Linked DNA regions of Macaca mulatta. The protein of the gene in region 2 purifies or fractionates together with the protein of the main gene of each other region. This does not show direct contact. Links are inferred from orthologs where the notes say so. Each region holds a gene or a part of one and is shown on either strand. Other genes may lie near its edges. The genes, in order: LARP7 and H1-4.

Region 1 (3,816 bases), on a different chromosome or scaffold from region 2:
ATGTTTTGCAATCTGATTAACCAGAGCGGTATTTACATCCCTCAATTTTCAGCTGTCTCCTGAAATGCAAGTTGGTAATAGCAATTTGGATTTGGCCAAATCCTTCACCAATATTGGAAAGAGAATCAAAATTTGTTTCTTAGTGACAGCTATAGGATTGTAGGACAGCATTTCAGATAAGGAGTGCTTACAGATAAACAACCACCTCAATGATATTCAAGTTAAAACCTGTGACTGATGAGTCTATGTGAAACCAAAACAATATACTAAGTGATGATGAATGTCAGTATAAGAAAATACTTAAAATATGTGGTATGTTACAGAGCATTTCACACTTTTTAAAAAGAAAAGGATTGACTTAAATGGGTCACAGGCAGGGTAAGGGTAAATAAGATACGGTACTCTCACATAAAAGTATATACTTACTTTTCCCTAATAGAAAGAAGTATTGCTACCAGTGTGGTATAAAAGGCTATAGAAGATAGACTGTACAAAACGAAAAAAAGATTATAAACCTGTGTGTACAGCAATTTGTAGCGTAAATTATATAGAACTATGGGTTTTTTGGCACATGTGTGAAAGATTTCTATAGGTCTTCAAAAATATTTTACACTTTTCTATAATTACAATTTTAAAGATAATCAGCACATAGGTAATACAAAAAAATAAATCCGTGCCAATAAAAATAAGCAAAAGTTACAATTTTCCTATAAAGAAGGATGTTTAAACTGTGCTTACTATAAAATGGACTCAGTGAAGAATTTCAGTCTCTAGTTTTTGCTTCAAAATTAAACCTAAGAGTTACCATGGAATTAAAACTGTACAGGTAGTTTACCATAGAGATACAAATTCTAATTTGATTTATCTTCCATATTCAAAACATTATCACACAGGGAAGTTAAGACAAGAAAGGAACAAATACCCTACGGGCTCAAAATCATTACCCGGACTTGTTTCCTGCCAGGTAGAGGCTCTGTGCTAATGATCTTCACAATCACTCCACTCACGAACTGTGGTCCTGTTGCATTAACTTTCTCCTGGGTGGGACACTCTTCACTGTTGGCTGTTGATTAGAAGAGGAAAAAGACCAGCACTAAATCTCTTACACTTAACAATTTAATACTTGGGAGGACTATCTTAGAATAATTCCTGAGGCAGATTTAAATAATTTAAAACGTATTTAATTTTAAAATAAAGTTTATTTTATATGTCATACTGCTTATTTCAAAATACCATGAAATAAAATCCAGAAAGGTTTATTATTCTACATGCAAACTGTTACTGCTAGAAGAGCACTGGTAGTCTTTAAGTTTGCCCCTTCTCCCTGCACAAAGGAACAGCAAATTTTAACTCAATAAAGTTAAAAAAAAATTATAGGATACTGTTTTAAATAATTATTCCAACGTGAGCATCATTTATTTTTACAAGAAATGATAATTTAAGATGTATCCTAATTTTGAATTCGTAAGAATTTTGCTTTAACTTATTCCTGCTTGTGGTTCATACTACAGAATGAAATTACAGGTGAGAACTACAATCTTCATTCCTACAAACTTGTTCAGTCTACAAACTGCACTCATGTGCTTAAATGAAAACTGTAGAGAAAACTCAGGTTATTTAAAAAATTGTTTTAAATGAGCCTTTTAAATGTTCTTATATCAAGAGTAAATAACATATCTGGATAACTTAACAAATCAAGAATTGTTCTAATAATGACACAGAATAATCAAGTTTTTTAAAATTAAAGTTTATCTTGTAACAACTCAGAGATAGCATTTTCATACATAAGTACATTATAAGTCAAAACTGTACATTATAAGTCAAAACTATCAGTGATCTTTACTTTTTTCATTTTTCATTCCAGTCTTTTGAGGTACTCCACCGTCTGTTTCCATTTCTGACTCTGATTTTATTTGGGATATTGTTTTTTTTAAAGAAGCCATGCTAGCTTTTTGTAGCGCTAAATACTCTTTTTTCAAATCCATCCATTCGCTCCTGCAAGGAAAGAAATGAAATAGTGATTATAGACGACTAAATATAAAAAAAAATATTAAAATATAAAAAGTAAATATGGGAATATCTAAATATATACATTCACAATGACTTGGAGTAACTCCTCCACCCAACTTTCTTGTTTCTTTAAACACATATTCAAAATATTTCCTGGGTTCTAAAGACATTTAGCAAATAAGCTAAGGGAGTTCCTCTTCCCCCAATATTCAGATTAAACGTTTTAAGATTGCCAATTACATTTTTGAGTGTGTCTGAAGTATTTTAATTTATAAAAGTAACATTTTAGCATTGATTCCTTAACTAGTAACATTTACTAAATCAGTCATCTCTGTGGGAAAAGCCCGAGATTAAAGATTTGTTAAACTGCTTCCAATTTGAGAGATAACATTCCTTAGTATTTACTTGAATCAAAAAGAATTTCTAAGTAGAACAAAACACCCCATGGAAGCATTCTATTTATTTACATATATTTAACATGTAGATGTTTCTTCAAACAGCTAGAGTTCCTCCAGATAGAAACACAATGCCTCTCTTGGCTTAGTGGGAGCACTCATTGTTACCCTAATCTATGCCATCAAACAAGCAGATAGATTTTCCTTTTTTTTTTTTAAAGAGGAAGATATCTTGTGGTAATGGTTTTAGCTGTTAACATTGACATCTGTATACTTCCAAAAAAAAAAAAAAAAAAAAAAAAGGATCCAGACCCACCCAGGATCATACATTCCCCAAGAGCTGATACATTAAAATAACAAAAGGCCCTTGTAATGATTCTCTGAGATAAAAAGGCAAAAGGAATTCAGGAGTTAAGAATAGTATAAATAGAAGTGGCTGAAGTCCCTGCCTTTTACCCTTCTGGAGGAGGACAGGAATCTTTGGGAACTAATTCAGGAAGGTAAGGAAATATTTTTCTTCAAAAGGTATGCCATTTTGTTTTCTTTCTCCTCAGCTTTAACTACTCTCAAGTCCCAAAGAAGTTGTATGTGGGTGGGCTCCCTTCAACTTTAACATGGAAGTGCTTTCTGTGACTTTAAAATAAGTAAGTGCTTCCATGTTTTAGTAGGAGTGAATCCAACTTACTTCTCCAAAATAGAACATGCTAACTTCACTCTCCTTAAGAGGTTGAAGGGATCCCCTTTGCTTTAACATGGGGGTACCTGCTGTGTGAAACAAAAGTAAGTGCTTCCATGTTTCAGTGGAGGTGTCTCCAAGTCAGCACACCTTTTGTTAATTTTTTTTGTTACTGTGTTTCAAGCTTACTAAGCTTGTTACAGGTTAAAGGATTCTAAGTTTGTCCAAGACTGGGCTTCCCACCACTTAAACGTGGATGTACTTGCTTTGAAACTAAAGAAGTAAGTGCTTCCATGTTTTGGTGATGGTAAGTCTTCCTTTTACATTTTTATAAGGTTTTTAGAAAAGGATTTTATTCTCGTTTATTTAAGCTTTATTTTGTATTTTTAAGTCTGTTAAGGTGCCCCCTCTACTTTAACATGGAGGCACTTGCTGTGGTAAGACAAAAATAAGTGCTTCCATGTTTGAGTGTGGTGGTTCCTACTTAATCATCGATTGCGTTAACGCCCACATTGTGTGCAGTTCTTTGCTACAGGCCACTACTGTTGCTAATATGCAACTCTGTTGAACACAAATTGGAATTGCACTTTAGCAATGGTGATGGATTGTTAAGCTAATGACAGGATTTAAACCACAGACTTACTTTGATAGTACTCTTAATGGTATAACTTCTTCTCCCATTTTATGTCTCTCTTTATGTTTTTTCTTGTGTTTCCTTTTTGTTTTTAAGAGAGA
Region 2 (4,482 bases):
CTCGTGTTATATCAAAATTCTATATTCTCTTTATTTCAGTAGCAGAATTTTTGTCTGGAGATTTTGGGCAATGAAATTAACATTTAAAGTGATATCCAACGCCATATTACAATCAGCCACGTCCACAGAACAGTATCATATCAACTTATAGCATTGGGCAAAATTTTATTTTGTTTCCATGATAAGTGGCTTGTAGTTCCACCCATACTGTTCCAGCCATACCGTTATTCAGAAATAATTCTTTTAGTTGGGCTTTCATTGCCAACCTACATACACTCTTCTTGGTTGGGCAACTACCTAAAGAGATTTACTCAGACATTGTTCAAAGGATGTTTTCAGAGGGCAATGATTTATAATAGCTTAGATAGACTCTCAAAGCTCTGCTTCTGAGATCGAAATTTGAACTTGTCATTTAATCACTACATGTCACTTATTTTTCTTTCTATTGCGCTCTGCGAAGCGTTGGGATACAGTCTTCAGGGGGATTGAAACCATACATGGTGAGTGGACTAGTCATTCCTCAACTATTCAGTAATAATAGCGGCTGGGCTTCTCTAATAATGGGAGTACATATGTTTCAATATACAGTTCTTATTTATTTTCCCTTATTATCAATGTTTGAATTCCAGCTCTAAGCTACTTTATTGCAATTTGGTTCTGAAGCATATGCCAAAAGCACTCAGCAAGGCTGCAGACAAATGCTTTAAAGAAAAGTGCACCTCCACTTCCAGTGACTTTATGAACATCACATTCGAAAATTAATCTTTTTTCAACTCTGTACCCTGAGTATATTTTGGACTTCCCTTCGTTCCCAAATACCCTGAATTCAAGGTATCTCAATCCATGGAGCAGTTGTCCAGAGAAGAGAGAAGCAACAGCCCCGCCCCCAACCCTTGGGAGCAGAAAGGGAAAGAATTATCCAAAGGAATTGTTTTAAAACTCAGATATAGCGGACAGATGTAAAACCACGGCTGCATAGATTGATGTCCCAGGGGTCCAAAACTTAATGTCAAATGAGGAATAATTTGTTTAGCATTAAACTAAACCAGTTTGATGAACTCAAATGCCCTCGGCTCAATAGGCAGGACTCTCCGAGGAGCCTGTGTTACTTCCCTCACTTAAGTGCAGATTTGTAATAAAAATCTTAATGCCAGTGGCATGCTTTTTGGATATATCAGAAGCTAACCACTTGGAGAATCATATTTGAGAGGTCAGAAAACTCCACAGTTAAAGATCGGTTTATAATTTACGAAGAAAATAGAAAGTTTTGTTTCTCTGAGTTGAAATTTGCCAAGCACGGCGGGAAATATTGCAAGTTTTTGGCACAAGGCTTTGTGCTTTCCTCATAATTTGAGATCTGCGTGAAGCCTGAGGGTTCGGGGATCATTATCTGAGAAAAACCGGGTAGTTCGGTGCAGACAATTTTTATATTTTTGGCTTTTTTTGAGGTGTAACAAACACAACTCGGGATCCGAGAGGACACTCTGCGGCTGCCAGCGAGGCGGGCTGGACAGCGCACCAATCACGGCGCAGCTCCGCCCTATATAAACGGGCGGGCGCAGCGCCGCGGCCCGAGTCCCGGCCAGTGCCTCTGCTTCCGGCTCGAATTGCTCTCTCTCTCACGCCTGCCTTCAACATGTCCGAGACTGCGCCTGCCGCGCCCGCTGCTCCGGCCCCAGCCGAGAAAACACCCGTGAAGAAGAAGGCTCGCAAGTCCGCAGGTGCGGCTAAGCGCAAAGCGTCTGGGCCCCCCGTGTCCGAGCTCATTACTAAGGCTGTTGCCGCCTCCAAGGAGCGCAGCGGTGTATCTTTGGCCGCTCTCAAGAAAGCGCTGGCAGCCGCTGGCTATGACGTGGAGAAGAACAACAGCCGCATCAAGCTGGGTCTCAAGAGCCTGGTGAGCAAGGGCACTCTGGTGCAGACCAAGGGCACCGGCGCATCGGGTTCTTTCAAACTCAACAAGAAGGCGGCCTCCGGGGAAGCCAAGCCTAAAGCTAAAAAGGCAGGCGCGGCCAAAGCCAAGAAGCCTACAGGAGCGGCGAAGAAGCCCAAGAAGGCGACGGGGGCAGCCACCCCTAAGAAGAGCGCCAAGAAGACCCCAAAGAAGGCGAAGAAGCCGGCTGCGGCTGCTGGAGCCAAAAAAGCGAAAAGCCCGAAAAAGGCTAAAGCAGCCAAGCCAAAAAAAGCGCCCAAGAGCCCAGCGAAGGCCAAAGCAGTGAAACCCAAGGCGGCTAAACCAAAGACCGCCAAGCCCAAGGCAGCCAAGCCAAAGAAGGCGGCAGCCAAGAAAAAGTAGGAAGTTCCTTTGGCCAACTGCTTAGAAGCTCAACACAACCCAAAGGCTCTTTTCAGAGCCACCCACCGCTTTCAGTAAAAGAGCTGTTACACTATCAGGGGGTGTGGCCGGGAAAACGCCGCTATTGAGGGGCGGGTCTCCCGGGAACAAAGTCGGGAGAGAGGAGCCGTTTTTGGCCAGGGGGTCATTTCGCGTTCCGTCGGCCAAGCAGGAGTGCAGCCGCGTCATTGAGCTTTTATTGCGTTTTCGAATACTGGAGTTAAAACCCATTTCGACCTCCGTAGTACTTAACACTTAGCGAGATCTGGCCTGCAAATAGCATGGGAAAAAAAGTCGGGATTTTCGCGGGCTTCTAGGCTGGGACGTATGAGTTCCGAATAGAGAACACTCAATTTCCGTGCTGGCTCCCTACAGACTATGGCAAGCAATGAAGGAGTGCAGAGGAGTACGTCTCGACACAGGTGGCATAGTACACTATTTCAACCACTGCCACAACTAAAAATTAGAAATTGACACTGCAGAAAATACTTGGTCCTTAAATGTAGCATTTGCATAGATGACTTCCCAAACGCAAAACTGCCAGACTTCCAGGGATATCCCAATTACCATGACTTCTGTATGCAACGAGTCCTATAATTTGTTAGAGGAAGAAAAGAGAACGTGAGCTCTCCTAAAGTATCTTTCAGTATACGTTCTGACACCACAACGCTAATAAAAAGTGTGATCTCAAAAACAACTGCTCCAAGAGAAGTGCACAGCTGACTTGTCTAAAGACGACTATTTATAGTAGCCTCGGGTAGTCTGGTCTGGGCTTTCTGATTGGGTAAAAGTAAAGTAATGAAATAGCCAATGAAAAGGTAGACTTTTAAGTGTCGTTTACATTGGCATTTGTGACGACACACAAAAATTAATCCAATCATAAACGAAATCTGATTAACCTCATTTGAATACCGCATCTATAAATGAACGGGGCATCGGTGGGAGTGATTATTTTCTCAGGTGTTTGCGACAGTGTTGTAATTATTAACGTTGCTATGCCTGAGCCTACCAAGTCTGCTCCTGCCCCAAAGAAGGGCTCCAAGAAGGCGGTGACTAAGGCGCAGAAGAAGGACGGGAAGAAGCGCAAGCGCAGCCGCAAAGAGAGCTATTCCGTGTATGTGTACAAGGTGCTGAAGCAGGTCCACCCCGACACCGGCATCTCTTCCAAGGCTATGGGGATCATGAATTCCTTCGTCAACGACATCTTCGAGCGCATCGCCGGCGAGGCTTCCCGCCTGGCGCACTACAACAAGCGCTCGACCATCACTTCCAGGGAGATCCAGACGGCCGTGCGCCTGCTGCTTCCGGGGGAGCTGGCCAAGCACGCCGTGTCGGAGGGCACCAAGGCCGTCACCAAGTACACCAGTTCCAAGTAACTTTGCCAAGTAAGCATCTTTACACCTAATCCCAAAGGCTCTTTTAAGAGCCACGCATGTTTTCAGTAAATGAGTTGTAATTTCATTCAAAAGGGGGATTATTGGATTTCTCAGCACCATACTACCAATCTTTAATGTTATGTTAGTACTGCAGAGGAAATACTTGGAAATTATAGGTAGTAACAATAGGTACCAGAAGTTGAGTGCTATGGGCACATACTAGATCATTAGCTCATTTAGTGTCAGATAACACTAACATAAACTGAAAGTACTGTAAGTGTACAGCTCTTTCGTTTCCGTGTGCAGATTTCCAAGTTGATCGTGATGTTGATCTGGGACTTCGTGTGGTGACGGCCCACCCTGAACACAAAAGAGCACCCTTTTGCAACTTCCTTCTGTTTGGAGCTTTCTCCACCATCACCCCCGCCCCCCGTTTTCTTGTAAAATTTTTACCATGCAGATACGTGATAACTGCAAGTAAAGGCTGAAGACAATGTGAGCTGAACACGGAAGTATTACAAAGGTTTCTGGTTTGCTTTGTAATTGGGCCAGTTTCTCTCTGAAGCTCTTAGGCGAGTAGGGGAGGAAAAGGCGGATCCTAGGCGCTGAGGTGCAGGAAAAAAGAAGCAACTTCTGAGACACCTTAAAATTATTTTGCTAAACCGTCTTTTTCAGAAAGCTATTTAATTTATAGTTTTCTTTTGGCAGCTTTCAGGTTAAAAGTTCACTAGGTAATGGCAGAAACCCAAATAGTCATTAAGGTGTCTGACT

The links.
Region 1: the proteins of H1-4 (region 2) and LARP7 purify together in Homo sapiens (affinity purification with mass spectrometry; 3 studies listed by BioGRID and IntAct, with this or other methods). This does not show direct contact. The link is inferred for Macaca mulatta from reciprocal best matches to the Homo sapiens genes H1-4 and LARP7.

Annotation. Positions count from the first base shown.
Region 1 is NC_133410.1:121,876,548-121,880,363, reverse strand, and holds part of LARP7 (la-related protein 7), read right to left. Parts: coding exon 3,725-3,816; intron 3,686-3,724; exon of another isoform or gene 3,618-3,685; intron 3,556-3,617; exon of another isoform or gene 3,488-3,555; intron 3,390-3,487; exon of another isoform or gene 3,321-3,389; intron 3,213-3,320; exon of another isoform or gene 3,145-3,212; intron 3,078-3,144; exon of another isoform or gene 3,002-3,077; intron 1,996-3,001; coding exon 1,844-1,995; intron 1,064-1,843; coding exon 945-1,063; intron 1-944. UniProt on the Homo sapiens protein: RNA-binding protein that specifically binds distinct small nuclear RNA (snRNAs) and regulates their processing and function.
Region 2 is NC_133409.1:156,952,451-156,956,932, reverse strand, and holds the start of H1-4 (histone H1.4), read left to right. Parts: upstream 1-1,573; 5' UTR 1,574-1,636; coding exon 1,637-2,296; 3' UTR 2,297-3,330; coding exon of another isoform or gene 3,331-3,711; 3' UTR 3,712-3,720; intron 3,721-4,017; 3' UTR 4,018-4,482. Other genes in the region: H2BC5 (histone H2B type 1-D), read left to right, coding at 3,331-3,711. UniProt on the Homo sapiens protein: Histone H1 protein binds to linker DNA between nucleosomes forming the macromolecular structure known as the chromatin fiber. Histones H1 are necessary for the condensation of nucleosome chains into higher-order structured fibers.